2 linked regions of the Rhinolophus ferrumequinum genome follow. The protein of the gene in region 2 purifies or fractionates together with the protein of the main gene of each other region. This does not show direct contact. Links are inferred from orthologs where the notes say so. Each region holds a gene or a part of one and is shown on either strand. Other genes may lie near its edges.

Region 1 (7,291 bases), on a different chromosome or scaffold from region 2:
TGAAAAACTAAATATATGAGGTTCTAGATACCTTCAGAGCAGCTAGAAAACAGATTTGGCACCTCTAGAATTAGAACTGGGGGCAGGGCAGATACTAAGGTCCTGAGACCAGCTTGATTTGAGGGTCTGGGCATCCTCACTGAAGATCAGAAGGTAGGGAAGGAGGAGGATGTGGCACTAGGGCCTCCTTCCTCAGAAAGGAAACAGAAATGAAGTCAGAATCAATTCTCCCTCTTACCTGCTAGACACTCCCCAGTAGGCCCCAGAACCCCCAATCTGACTACATGAGACAATATTTTTATGCATAGTTTTACATTGTGGTCTAATTACCATGTAGCACCATTTTGTGTATCATTGAAGGACAAATTAACTTTGCTATAAATTTGATAAGATTCCAATGCTAATTATGTTATGGGAGCTATTACCATTATAATTTGGCTCAGTTTTTAACATTTCTCGTTCAGGTAGCATGGATGTTCCTTTATAACGTGAAAGTATTGAGAAGGCCCTGGCCTACATTTAGCCCTGTTTGCTTTCAGGCGCTAAATGTGTGCTGTTTCTGTGATGTACCGGGCTGAGAAGCCCCAACTTTGTAGAAGGTGTTGCAAACTAAGGGGACAAGCTCCAGCTTTGATGTCAGTCAGTCAGACAGAAAGGGGTTCAAATCCAGCGGGAGCCACTTCAGCAAGGTGAATTTGAGAAAGTTCCCTACCCCTTTGGAGACCATTTTCATGTCTATCAAATGTAGAAAATAAAACCTGGTTGGTGTGAGGATTGACTAGAGGCTTTAACATAACACGACCTGTCCAGTTTCTGGGAGGTAGTTCTGACAGAAAGCTTCAGAAACCAGCCTCTTCCCAAGGAACTCTGGATGAACCAACACTCTTGCTTCCCTCTGTGAAACACCGCTCTATCCCTCCAGCAAAATGAACCCTCTCCTCTTGGCAACACTTACATACTTTTCCAAAAGTCAGTGGTTTTCATGTCAATTTGTGCCTGCTACTACAAATAGGCAATTTAATTAAATAGAAACTTAAAAAATATGAGTGAAGATGTTATTGCTATGCAAACTAAGTTGAATATTTGAAAGCAGTCACAGGTAAATAATGGTAAAAGCAAATAATTCTGCTGCATTAGGTGTGGGTAAGGTAGCTGAGAAGGTAAGAGACTGAGTGAGTGACACGGCTTTGCCGGCTTTTCTTCTGCTTCCACAAAGGTATAATTAGAAATCAGAGATGAGTTTTCATGGGTGTCTTTTAGGTAAGAAAGGTGACACAGAAACACCAAGCAGGGGTCTCATACTCAGAGGAAACACCCTGGCATTACACAACAGATTGGCAGTAATTGAATATACTTTAGGTTAAAATACAAGTAAAATGTCTAAAGCACATTTATATCATTTTTATGATTTCCCCCACTTTAAACAATGGTTTTGATTCATCGGGCCCAAGTGTGTCAGATGAGAGTCTTTCTAGTGTATTTTATTGGAATGCTGGTGATGGGTAGAAACCCATTTGTTTGGCAAACATGTCCCATATTCTCCCAGGATGTTTGGTTGGGATGCTTTCATAGTGGCTCCCAATCCTGGCTGCTTATTGGAACCATCCAGGGAGCTTGATTATTGGGTCCCATTTTCTCCCACCCCACCAACTTTGATTTAATTATCTGGGTCGGACCTGGGCAGGTGAGTCTCATGTGCCACTGCTCTGTATTATGTGCTACTTGGGCCTCAAGAACCAGGTCTGCAGCCATGTTTGTAAGAGTCAGATGGAGAGTCTTATCCTCCACTCTTCCCCTTCCTGCAAGGCCAACCAGGAGGCTTGTGCAGACAATCCAAAAGAGTCCCTGTGTTGGACTGAGGAGTCTGAAACCCGGAAAGGCAGCTCCCAGAAGAGTGGAAGGGGCACCAGGGACAGTCCATAGCTAAGCAGTAGGATGGGCTGCAGATCAGACGGCAGGGGGGGTAGGCTGGTGTGAAAGTGTGCACCAGGAGTGACCAGTCTCGGCTGCAAGTGCCATGGTCAGGGGTGTGGTGATGAAAGCCTGTGTTGAAGGAGAATTTCCTTGAGGTCAGAGATTTCATGTCTCTTCCAGTGAATGATGGTATGTTCTTATCACAGTCAATTCTCATTATTTGCCGTAGTTATGATCTATAAAGTTACCACAAACAATGAATTAGCTAACATCGAAACATTGTTCCTGGGACGAATACAGGGTTGGGTTGCTGTGAGTCTCTCTGGTCACCATATTTACATCAACTGATGTATAGATGACCTTGTTTTATGTGTGAATCTCCTGAAAGACACCTTATTTAATATATATTGTTGACTCACTAACATTGAACTCACAGCCAACAGCACCATAACTCACACCTGAACGAAGCTTCTCTAACACACGTATTTCCTCCACAAGACACATCAAAGCCTTCTTGCTCTTAGGACACTAGACAGCACTTCAGCACTACACTTGAGGGTAGTGAAACATTGAAATCAAAAACAAAAAGCACAGAAATGAAAAACCAAGGCACTACACAGACCACACAAAAGATGCATGTTTATAGTATTAGAGCTAAAACAGAAGGCAGGGCATCGCCTTGTTTGACGTTGGCTGGGAGTGTGAACGCAGAGAGATTCAAATTTTTACTGCTGTGCTCACGTCCACAAATGACTATGAAGTGCTGTGAGTACTGGTTTTGGGGTTACAGATACATTTTAGTGAGTAGGTAAATTTGCAAATGCGGAATCTGAATCTGAAAAAACTAAGAATGGATTGTACGTAGTTGAAGCCATTTTCACTCCTCCTTCCTTCTGTCCTCCTTGCTTACATCCCTCACCTTCTGCAAAGCCTGCTTCCCCTGTCAAGGGGTCTTTGTTGATTTGCAACCTGCCTCTGATCATTCCATTCTGTGCTCAATTCTCAATAGAGAAGACTGTTGAGACAACTCAGTCCATCAATCAAGAACCAATCCATCAATGCTAACGAAGTATTTTAAAGCACCTAAGAAGACTTTTGAGGGATACAATGGGAAAAGGGTAAATGTAAGAAGCAATGCCTTCCAAAGAGGGATTTACTATTTACCAGTAGTTGAGAGAAAGTTAACATGTGAAACCAAGGTAGACAATGCTAAAAAGTACCTAAGTCTGGTTTAAAATGACTGTTTCCCACTGTAAGCGCTCTAGATAAATTAAGTGACGAACTTAGCTAGGATGCTTTTGTGTGAGGACTTAGAAATGGTGATGAGTGAAAGCCCAGCTCTGCCTGATGATGCTTTGTTCCTTACTCCAGGAGACATTTTACCAAAAACCACAGGTTATTCCAGATGGATTAACCAACACCAAATATTTTGTTTCCCATTCTTTATTGCCAACATACCTTTAGCAGGATCTTAAGGACTCACTGGTAATAGTAAATATTTAATTTAGGGCCAATGTACTTGAGAGGTCAACCTGATGAAAAGTCCAGGAAATGGGACTTAGGCAGTGAATTACTCCATAGAATCTGTGACAGATTTCACTCACACAATCAACACCTTCCAACAGGCAACCTACTCCCTCCTCTTCAGCAGGAAACTAACCACTACAGACCCATACCAGTGAACATCACAGGTATAAACTACCTTGCTTTTTATTTTTTTTTTCATTTAAGGCAGTAGTTTGCAAACCTTCTATTCTCTTACCAGTAACAAATGACTGATTTATGGGATTTTGTTTCAAGGTGGCTGATCTCACTGCTGGACTGTGGCTGTAGCCTCCTCAGGTGGGGCCAGCCTCTTAAGAACATTGTTAATAAAAGGTAATTGGTCTGAAGTGCTTAGCGCTGTATCCGGCACCCAAGAGTCCCCATGTAAGTGTTTGCTATTATTAACACAAAGACCACATCTTCTACAGGGTTCTGTTTATTTCCTTGTAAATTCCACAGTGTAGTGCAATGCTGGGATCCCAGTGAACAGAATCTTGCTTAGAACAAGTGCGCATCCACGGTGACTGAGACTAATATTATGCCTTGGATTTATAAGTGTCATTTACTGACTTGGAATACACACTTGAAGACGCAGTCATTCTTTCAACAAACACTGTGTTTGGCACCTGTCATGTGCCAAACACAGTGTTACATGTGGAGATGTGGAGATAGTAGGAATAAAAAGTTAGCAACCATTAATGTGTGCTAGACACAGCGTGAGCCCATCCTCCCGGTAACCCTGCGAGGTAGGCATCCATTTTCCCAGGAGGAAATCTAAGTTTTGAGGAACTGAGTAGTTGCCAAGCCATTTAACTCAGGAGCCCCCTGCCTCCCATCAATACTCTGAACACCACCGTGTACACCCTTAAGGAGCTTACTCTGTACTCATTAAGAACTCAATGAAGCACCAACTCAACACATCTCATCCTACCTTTAAAGAACTCCAAAAGTTGGGGGATCAGAGCACGCCACCTCTCCTGTCAGGGACACCCCACTTCCTAATACCTTGAGAACTAGGTTGGAAGGGAAGGAAAGAAGAAGCAAGATGTTTCGTCTGTGCCAAGACTCCAGAGGGTCTCACTGGAAGATCCTTCTGTCGTCTCTACAACAGAATGTTGGGCCCGAGGCAGCTCCGCTCACTGGGACGCCAGGTTTCTTTGCCTTCAAAGCTCCGCGCGACGGCCACACGAAAGATCCAAACCTTGGGCAGGGTCCAAACGGTCACTTCCCCGCCCCCTGGGCGCAGTATGCAAATCCGAGCACCAGGAAGTAGCTGGGACCTCTCGGCCGAGCCCAGCGACAGCCAGTTCCTCTCCCGCCGCGCCCGGCCGCCCGCCGCTCGTTCTCGGCCGTGGCGCCTCCGGGACCGACGCGCTGCAGCCTCCAGCTCGTGTCAGGCGGGGCGGCCGCGTCACCCCGGGCCCCTAGCCTGCAGACCCCCGCCGCTCGTCCTCGGTTCCCAGCCCGCAGCCCCACTCTACGCGAGCCCTGCTGGGCCGCCCCGTCGCGCCCCGGGCTCTGAACTCAAGTCACCGTGGAGCGCCGCCGCCGCCGCCCCCTTCGCCCCGCTACTTTCACCGCGAGCTGGTGAGTCTCAAGCACCAAGAGCGCGGGCTCCAGGGCGGACCGGGCGGGGTCCGCCTCTGTGCCACTGGCTGGAGTCTCGGGCGTGAGGCAGGCCCTGGGCCAGGGGCCGGGGGTCGGCGCGGACCGCGGGAACGTGGGACGCACGCCCCTTCCTGCCAGTCCTGGCGCTCGGCCGGGCGGTGAGGGCACCCAGATGCCTTCAGCCTGTGGGTGACCGGGCCAGGAGGGGCGAGGACGCGGGGGCGAGCAGCTCAGCAGGTGTCTCCTCCAGGGAGCCGCGCAGGGGTGTGGTGGAAGAGCGGGCGCGCGGGCGGACACACCTCGAGGCCCTCTGGCGCAGACCCGAGGGCCGCATGCTGTCCCCACTCGGCCACTCCCAGAGCGTCACAGGGAAGCCCCTCTCCACGCAGAGTGGGCGCGGCAGGGATTCTGGCCGGGACCCTGGTGGGGATTCCTCGGGTTGCACAATCTGGGCTTCCCGTTGGGCCCAGGTCCCCAGAGGCGAGGGGTGGGGCTCGGTCGCGGCCCTCTTCCAGACCCGCGGGCAGTTGCCCTCCTCCAGAGCCCCGGCAGCAGCGTGACGTCGAGGGGGTGCGGTGGAGGCTGGTGCGCACCCTCCCGCTGAGCCAGGCGCCTCTCGGCCTGCAGAGCAGCAGTCCCGTGCCTCGGTCCGCCTGGAGGAAGCGAGAGTTATTTTAAGAATTCAGGGGTTGCCTTTCTTTTGCCTTGGGGGAAGGGTGTAAGCGTCACTTCCCACTGTCCTGCGTTATCTTGGCCTCCTGTGATGGCTTCTAGATGCTGTACAGCCAGCGTGGTTCTGTGGTCATGTCTCCAACGTGTGTTTGTGTTTTACCCCAAATCCACCCAACTACTTTGCCGTCTCAGAAACCCGAGTGGAATGGAGGCCTTACAATTTCCCACCTGAGTGTGAACCTGGGCTTGTGGTTGAAATACCCTTTTTGAGTTTCCTCATCTTTGGGAGAACCTGTCTACCTCCTGTGCTATTTGTTGTAGTTATTTAATGAATGGCGCTGTTATTTATTGCAAATAATTCTTTCCATAAAAAAAAAAAAAACAAGGCTCCCTGGTTCTTTGCAATTTGATGATTTTAAACCTAAGACTATCTGTCTGATTTAGCCACCTGTCCTTATTAATAAATCTGCTTAATAAATATACCAGAGTTTTGCTGTCCCAAAGCAGGGCCCAGGAGTCTGGCTCACCCTAAGACTAGCCAATAAGGATGTCTGACTTACTTGTGATTTATTGGCTGCCCTCAGCTGGCTGTAGGGTTCAGGAAGACAGGCAACACCTAAAGTAGTGCCACCGGGAGTAGGCACCGACAGAATACAGGCAGTTCTTAAGTACTCAAAGTCCTTCCAGTAAGTGAGCTCTGCTGGCAAATGGTGGGATTCAGGTAATCCCTGGTTTTCACTTGGAGGTAAAGAAGTAAATGTCTTAAGACTTGAAGAACTTTAACTTGATCACAAGAGGCTTTTGGTGATAGGGCCTTTTTAAATGCACAGTGGGACAACCCTGTTCCTGAGGAAAGGTTAGAAGGCCCCAAAGTAAGGGAAGAGAACACAGAAGCCAGGAAACCTGAGGTAGGGTCTGTTCTACCATTTACCAGAGCTATGATTTGGGATAAGTTACTTGGGCCATTTATTTAGCCAACGTTTCCTTCATAGAAGTAATCAGAGTTATATTATGAATTGCTAGCGTGTGTATACTACAATGAAAGCTCCATGATTACAGCTTTGTCTGTCTTGTCTGAAATGCTAGCCCCGGAGCCTCTCACATAGTTGAGATTACTTGGAAGAACGAATGAAGTATGGCCCTATGCAAGGCAGAAGGAACAGGCCTGGTTCCTAAGGCATTTGAAGCCTACCGGTCCTCTGTCCTGGTTTCTAAAGCGGGGATTTGAGGGACTTTTTGGACTGTTAAGTTATCTCAGAGCCAGCTCTAAGTGGGAAACTCCACTCAGGACTGGTTACTCTGCTGTATTACCTGGAGAAGGGGCTTGATTTGGAGTATAAGATATAGCCTGCAAAAGTAGTTTGGCAACCCAAAAGACCCACTTTATCTTAGAGTCATTGGTGTAGCAAAGATATGTGGAGAATTTGTATTCTTTTAGTAGAAAAGTAGTCCAGCAGTTTTGCACATCAATGATTTTCAAAGACTTTTAGTTCCACTATATTTGTATTCAAAAATAAATCACCAAAACATCTGAGATGCGAGTTGGTTCAAA
Region 2 (7,803 bases):
AAAGGCCAGCACAGTGCCTGGCCCAGATTTAAGCTGAGTAAATAATTAGAACTTTATAATTGGATTTGTAATGCTGAGAAACATTCAGTAGGTGAGTGCCAAGTGTCAAGGGTCTTAGGCTGAGGCTGGCACTGGAGGTGCTCAACAAGTACTCGTTATTTTAAAGCACGATGGGGCAGGGTGGGACTCAGGGCTGACAGAGAGGACAGAGGCCTTCCATCTGCCTGGGAAAGCCAGGGAGGCTTCCTGGGGGAGGCAGCTTTTCGGTTAGTCCCTGCATCTGGAGGGATTTGGCTAGGCAGAGCGAGGGAAGGGAATTCCTGGTGGAGGACACCCTAGGAGCAAAGGCCTGGAACTGGGCTCTGTGGGACTAAAGGCCAACGTCTGGCCTCAGTGGGCCCTGTGTCCTGGGGGTGGTGTAGGGCTTTCTGTGTACTCCTCTCTGAGTGTGTGTGGACTGAATGTTCTGTGGGCTGATTGCAGGACCCATCTTCTGGCTGCTGGTCAAGAGCCCCCAGCTGGCGGCCCAGCCCAGCACTTACCTGGTGGTGGCGGAGGAACTGGAAGGCGTTTCTGGAAAGTACTTCGATGGACTTAAAGAGAAAGCTCCGGCCCCTGAGGCAGAGGATGAGGAGGTAGCCCGGAGGCTTTGGGCTGAAAGTGCCCGCCTGGTGGGCTTAGAGATGTCTCATGGGTCCTCTGTGAGGGGAGAGCTCCTCCCCAAATAACCTGGGAGCAGGTGTGAAAGCCACCAAGGAGGCAGAGTCATCAGGATGGAGCAAGACCAAGGATAACTGCCATGCCCACATCACCGTCTAGGTGGCAGTATTGTATGGGCCTCAAGATTTCAAGGAACGTGGCTGCCATACCCGCTTCACCTCTAGGTGGCAGCACTGGCCAAGGAATGCTGGCTGCCATGCCCACATCACCCTCTAAATGGCAGTATTGACCTGGTTTTTTTCTTTTGTGGCCACAGTGGATTGGACTGCAGGTGGGCACCTTACCCAGGGGTTGGCTGGGGCACTGTGCCTGCCGAGAGGAGCCTCTGGTGTGGGCCACAGTTGGGGACCTTATGGCTATGGACAAGTTGTCTGACGGACACGGTCGAGTTCACGGTTCTCTGTGGGACCTTGTACAGCTCCAGCCTCCTCTCCGAGTCTCGGTTTCTCCAACTGTAGAATGTGTTCAATATCTTGACTACCTCACAGGATGGCGTGATGCCGAACAGGTCATTTCTTGGCTCAGTGAATAGTAGTGTGCATTCCTTCCCAGAGGAAGTTTACTGAGGGTCTTACATAAGCCAGACCTGGCCTTGTTATCCCCCAGTCACGCCCTGGACAACAGCTGCTGCTGCTGAGGACCCCGGATGCCGGAGTCATGACCTTTCCTTGGCCCATAGACTCTCAAGCTTATTCTTTAAATAGACTAATAATAAAACATCTAGCTGAGTCACAGGTTTTATTTTCTTCCTCCATGCCACTGAGGAAGTGCCAACGAGCTGAACAAGAACAACTCATGTATTTCTTCCTTTTGGGAAACTCAGACGTCAGGTTAAATATCAGGACAATAAAACAATCATGTTCAGATGTTTAGAGGTGAAAGGGTCCCTTCCCTCTTTTTATGTGGCGACAGTCATTGAAGTCTAGCTGTCTTCTGTGTTAGAAACAGGGCTGGCACTTAGCTCGGGCACAGATTCGAGGGGGGATGGCACCAAAAGCTCAGTAATCCAGATAAACATTTTAACATTAAAAAATGTATTATTTAATATTTACCATACTTCGGGAGGTCAGGGGTACTGCATCACATCCTACAATCCACAAAACAGCACAGAATGACTGGCCCTGGATGCCAGCAGTGGGGGGAGGGGAGTGGTGGAGGCTGAATCAAAGACACCCAACACTTTATAAATCCAGTTAGTTTTCTTTCTGTTACTGTGGGGACAGAGCCAGGAGTGCAGTTTCCAGGCTCTCGGCCTCACGTGGAAAGGTGCTGGCTCAGGTAGTAAATGGCCATCAACTGTGATTGGATGGCCATCAGCTGTGGCTAGTTGGCCGTCAGCTGTAACCAGTGAGCCATTGGCCACTAATATAACTGCGCAGGTGTACAGCGCATTGGTCAGGCATCTGCACAGTCTATGACGTGATCCCCCTGATAAGTCCAGTGCCCATCTGGCACCTTACATGATCTTTACAATTGGTTATATTCCCTACATTATAGTAACTGTCACTTTGTCCATTTCCTTCACCAGGTTAGGGAAGTTTTCTGTCATTATTTCTTCAAATAGGTTTTCATATTTTTGCTGTCTCTCTTCTCTTTCTGGTACCCCAATAATGTGAATGTTGGTATGCTTGATATTGTCTTGAAGGCCCCGTAAACTCCTCAGTTTTTTGGATTCTTTTTTCTTTTTGCTGTTCTGGTTGGGTATTTTCTTCTGCCTTATCTTCTACATTGCTGGTTGGATCCTTTGCTTCATCTAATCTACTGTTGATTCCTTGTAATATATTCTTTGTTTCCATTATTGAATGCTTTATTTCTGACTGGTTCTTTTTTATGGTTTCCATCTCCATTTTTATGCTTCCTATCTCTCTGTTGCAGTTCTCCCTGAGATCATTGAGCATTCTTATAACCAGTGTTTGGAACTCTGTGTCTGATAGATTGCGTATCTCCATTTTGCTTAGTTTTTTTTCTGGAGCTGTGTTCTGTTCTTTTACTTGGGACATGTTTCTTTGTCTCCCCATTTTGGCTGCCTCCCTGTGTCTGTTTCTATGTAGTAGGTAGGCCTGCTATGTCTTCTGGTCTTAGTAGAATGGCCTTATGTAGTACGTGTGCTGTAGGTTTCAGTGGCACAGTCTTTCTGATCGCCTGAGCCACACACTCCAGGTGTGTCCTTTGTGTGGGTTGTGTGTGCCCTCCTGTTGTAGTTGAGCCTTGGTTGATAATTGCACATCAGTGTGAGGGACTGACCCTTGGGCTCACTGGTTGTGAGGACTGGCCTTGACTACAGTGGAAGAGTTGTGCAGGGGCTGATCCTATGGAACAGGATCTGCCTCAGCAGGACTCAGGTGCCTGCCCAATGTGCCCCTTGGGTGTGTTCTATTTGGAGGTGGCTAGGTGATGCTCCAGCTCGTTTTGAAGCTGGCACTGGGCGTACCAGCACTAGGACCACCTTGGAGGGGATCCGCTGTAGGCTTACTTCAGCCATAGCCTGTGCCCCACCTGGGGGCACCCAGTGGAAGCCAGAAAGAAATCTGCAGATGGCTGCTGCCTGTGCTGTGCTTGGAAGCACTTTGAGAGGCCCAGCTGCAAACTAAGGCCAGCTGCCACTACAGGATATGCTCAAGCCAGATGCTGCTTGTCTGGGTTCCGCTAACTTTGAGAGATGCTAGAAAAGTCTGCAGCTTGAGCAGTGGCAGGCAGACTGCATGGAAAACCCACTGAAAGTGGCCAGGGTGTGCCCCAAAGTTGGGCAGAGCTGAGTCTCAAATCACCAGCGTGTGGTGAATGAACTGTGGAGACTCAGATATGGGGGCTGCCTGTGTTTGCCCCCTGGGAAGGTGGAGGGCTCAACAAAGAAAAAATGGCCTCCACCAGCTTCCTTGTCCAGGAGAAAGCTGTCTCTCCAGCCCCTCTCCCAAGCCAGAGAACTCAATTGCCATCATTTGTCCCTGCTGCCTTTCCAGCTGCTGCCCCAGCGCTGGAGCTCAGAGCAAGGGATTCCGTTGGTGGGTAAGTCAGTGCGCCGTCCCTTTAAGGGGAGCACCTGTGAGTGCAGCCGCCCTCAGTCTCACTAAGTCACAATCTCCACTGGTTTTCACAACCAGAAATTATGGGGAGTTCTCTCCCCCCAATGGAACCCTCGGCTGGGGTGGGGCTGGGATCTTTTGCTCCTTTAGGGGAGGGGGACCCCCACAGGTGAAATAGCCCTCCCAATCCCTAATGCTCACACACAGGTGTGGGACCAGCCTGTTCCGCGTCTCTGACCTTCCTACCAGTCTGGAGTGGCTTCTTCTGCACATCCTTAGTTGAAAGGCTTCAGTTCAGCTTAATTTTAGGTGATTCTCAATAATGGTTGTTTTGTACATTAGTTGTAACTTTGATGTGATTGTGAGAGAAGGTAAACACAGTGTTTACCTACTGTGCCATCTTGGTTGTTCCCCTCTTGTTCCTTTTTCTTTTTTTTTTTTTTTTAAAGATATTTTATTGGGGAAGGGGAACAGGACTTTATTGGGGAACAGTGTCTACTTCCAGGATTTTTTTTTTCCTAAGTCAAGTTGTTGTCCTTTCAATCTTAGTTGTGGAGGGTGCAGCTCAGATCCAGGTCCAGTTGCCGTTTTCTAGTTGCAGGGGGCACAGCCCACCATCCCTTGTGGGAGTCGAACTGGCAACCTTGTGGTTGAGAGGATGCACTCCAACCAATTGAGCCATCCGGGAGGCAGCTCAGCTCAAGGTGCCGTGTTCAATGTTATTTGCAGGGGGCGGAGCCCACCATCCCTTGTGGGACTCGAGGAATTGAACTGGCTTGTGGTTGAGAGCCCACTGGCCCATGTGGGAATTGAACTGGCAGCCTTTGGAGTTAGGAGCATGGAGCTCTAACCGCCTGAGCCACTGGGCCGGCCCCTCTTGTTCCTTTTTTAAGGCTGAATAATATTTCATTGTATGAATATGCCACAGTTTGTTTATTCATCAATGGACACTTGGGTTTCTCCCTCATTTTTGGCTTTTTTGAATAATGCTGCTATGAATATGGGTGTGCAAACATCTATTCAGGTTCTGTTTTTAATTCTTTTGGGTTTATACCCAGGAGTGGAATTAGTGGATCATGTGGCAATTCGATGTTTAACATTTTGAACAACCATCATAGTGTTTTCCATAGTGGCTGCACCATTTTCCATTCCCATTAGCCATGCCTGAGGATTCCATCTGCTCCACAGCCTCACCACCACTTGTTATTATTTGTCTGGTTGATGACAGCCATCCCAGTGGGTGTGAAGTGATATCTTGTAGTGGTTTTGATTTGCATATTCCCAGTGAGGGATAGGAAGTTTATGGAAGTATCAGAACATGGACAGTCCCTCCATAGGCCCACAGGGTATGACCTGGGCTGGTGACGAGAGATAACTGAGGCTCCTTGGAGCTGTGTGCAAGTCATTCTGCAGCAGGAACAGCTCCCGCGTGATAAGTCTCAATTAGGAAAAGCCAGGCTGGCGGGGGAGGGAGGAGCGCCTGCTTCGTTCTCATCGCCTCCCGTGTCTCTGCTCCTGCACAGCTTCCCTCCTGAGGAACCATGTCCCCACTCCAGGCTGTCCTCCTCTGCCTCGGTGAGTCCTGAGGGTTGATTTGGGAAATGCTGAGGGGCAGGCAGTGGGTTACGAGACAAAGAAGGTTTTAAACATGTGGGCAGTGAAGTTTGGAGCAAGAGGCCCATTCATTTGTTGGGTGGGGCCCAGGGCGGCGGAGTGTTTGTCTGAGTTGTTGTAGTCTATCCTTGGCTGGGCCAGGAAATGAACACAAGTTTCCTAGTTTTGGCCACAACTTTCTCCCACTACATAATTTTTTAAAAATGTGGACTCAGTAATATCAGGACGAGGTTATAGATTTAACTTGTCATTCATTCTTCCTCATGGTACTGGCTCCACTAATCCTGCCATTTGCTACAACATGGGTGGGTGGACCTTGAGGGTATTATGCTGAGTGAGATAAGCCGGACAGAGAAAGAAAATACTGCATGACCTCATTTATATGTGGAATCTAAAAAAGCTGAACTCATGGGAGCAGAGAGTAGAATGGTTGTTTCCAGGGGCCAGGGGTGGGAAATAGGGAGATGTTGGTTGAAGGGTACAAACTTCCATATAAGATGAATAAGTTCTGGGGGTCTAATGTCCAGCATGGTGAGTATAGCTAACAATACTGTATTATACTCATATACTTGAAAGTTGTCAAGAGAGTTGATCTTAACTGTCCTCACCACAAAAAAGAAATGGTAATTATGTGACCTGATGGAGGTGTCAGCTAATGCTAAGGTGGCAATCATGTTGCCATATATAAATTTATGAAATCAATACATTGTATATCTTGAACTTACACAATGTTATATGTCAATTATATCTTGATAAACCTGGAGAAAAAAGTAAGAGACCCCACTCGACACACAATCCCTTTCTCAAAGAGGAGGTACTTCTCTATCTAGTCATCAAAAGTGTGTGCATGGGGTGGGGTCCTGGAGGGAGCTGGCGCGGGCAAGCAATTCCCTGCTGGCTTAAAATCAACAAACCTCATGGCAAAATCACATACTTAACAGAAAATTTACCATTCATGACATTTGCATTGCTGTGCGACCGTCACCTCTATCTGGTTCCAAGACATTTCACCCCTCCCAAAGGAAATTCCATACCCACTGCACTCACCCCTCCACGTCGCCTCCCCCGGCCCCTGACAACCATTAATCTGCTTTCTGTCTCTGGACAGATTGACCTCTTCTGGACATTTCATATATATGGAATCACACAGTAGTGGCTTTTTACGGCTGGCTTCTTTCACTTCAATTATGTGCATGTGTATCTTTGAGAAAACAATTATGACAAAAGAAAGCTGAGCATACAAATGTCCTATCACCATGCCCAGCATGCAGGAAGTGTGAGTTCACTCAAGGTTCTAGCATTTGGTCCTTTTCTTTTGTCCTCAGGGCTGTGTCTGGAGCAGGTGATACAAGCTCAGAATTGTGAGTGGGGATCCCTCCTCTGGGGTCAGACAGTGAGAGGGCAGTAGGGGTGTGAGGGCTCAGGAGGAGGGTGCTGTTTGGGGGCTCTCCTCCACTACCCTCTGCTTCCCTTCCAGGCCCGCTACCCAAGCCCTCCCTCCAGGCCCACCCCAGCTCTCTTGTGCCCCTGGAGAATCCAGTGACCATCCGTTGCCAGGGGCCCCCAGGCGTGGACTTGTACCGCCTGGAGAAACTGAAATCTGGGAAGTATAACGACCAGGCTGTCCTCCATATCCCGGCCATGAAAAAAAGTTTCGCTGGATGCTACCGTTGCTTCTACCAGAACGGGACCTGCTGGTCTCTCTCCAGTGACAAGCTGGAGCTGGTGGCTACTGGTAACTGGACAGGAGGGGGTGGGGTGTAACTGGACATGTGGCCTCAGGGCGAAATGGTCCTCAGTTTTGGGCTGGAAGAGGGTGAAAATGGAGATGATGATGACAGTAAATTCAGTGGCCCAGGGGGCTGGGATTGGGTGGGGCCAGTGAGGCACTGACCTTGAGTGTTACATTTAGGAGACGTGCCACAAACCTTAATCAACGTAAGTCATATGTTAGTGCTTTCACCAATAATGTTATCTTTTTACAAAAGTCAAAATCAATGCAAAAACATCCATGATGAGCAAAATATGACAATTTTAAGTAAACACAGAATCCGTCAGTGATGGTCCAGCCATAGCCCAGCCTGATGCAAAAGGAAAAAGGTGCACCCCTCTATTCATGCACTAATGCGTTTTTTTATTTTTAGATGGAATAAAATGTCCCCAGCTTATGCTTTTCTTTCCAATGCATTTTAAATGGTTATTTTCCAAGATAGGTTTTGAAAATATCGATGAGTTTGTTTCCATGAAAGCCAGAAGTGTTAAAATGATAATAAATCCTGTCTTTTTTTTTTGGGGGGGGGTTATAAATAAAATATTTCAACTTAAAGTAGTGTTTTGAGTTTTAATAACCTACTGTAGAAATTGTCAATATTTTTCAACTATGCTAATAGTGTGGAAAAAATTAACCAAAAGAAGTACAGAAAACCATTTGGAACCTTTGCCTCAG

What was found. The genes of interacting proteins can lie anywhere in the genome.
Region 1: the proteins of GP6 (region 2) and LYN purify together in Homo sapiens (affinity purification with western blotting; 5 studies listed by BioGRID and IntAct, with this or other methods). This does not show direct contact. The link is inferred for Rhinolophus ferrumequinum from reciprocal best matches to the Homo sapiens genes GP6 and LYN.

Annotation. Positions count from the first base shown.
Region 1 is NC_046297.1:22,212,471-22,219,761, reverse strand, and holds the start of LYN (tyrosine-protein kinase Lyn), read left to right. Parts: upstream 1-4,275; 5' UTR 4,276-4,571; coding exon 4,572-5,046; intron 5,047-7,291. UniProt on the Homo sapiens protein: Non-receptor tyrosine-protein kinase that transmits signals from cell surface receptors and plays an important role in the regulation of innate and adaptive immune responses, hematopoiesis, responses to growth factors and cytokines, integrin signaling, but also responses to DNA damage and genotoxic agents.
Region 2 is NC_046298.1:48,294,625-48,302,427, reverse strand, and holds the start of GP6 (platelet glycoprotein VI), read left to right. Parts: upstream 1-4,800; 5' UTR 4,801-5,284; coding exon 5,285-5,318; intron 5,319-6,682; coding exon 6,683-6,718; intron 6,719-6,834; coding exon 6,835-7,092; intron 7,093-7,803. Other genes in the region: RDH13 (retinol dehydrogenase 13), read left to right, coding at 484-728.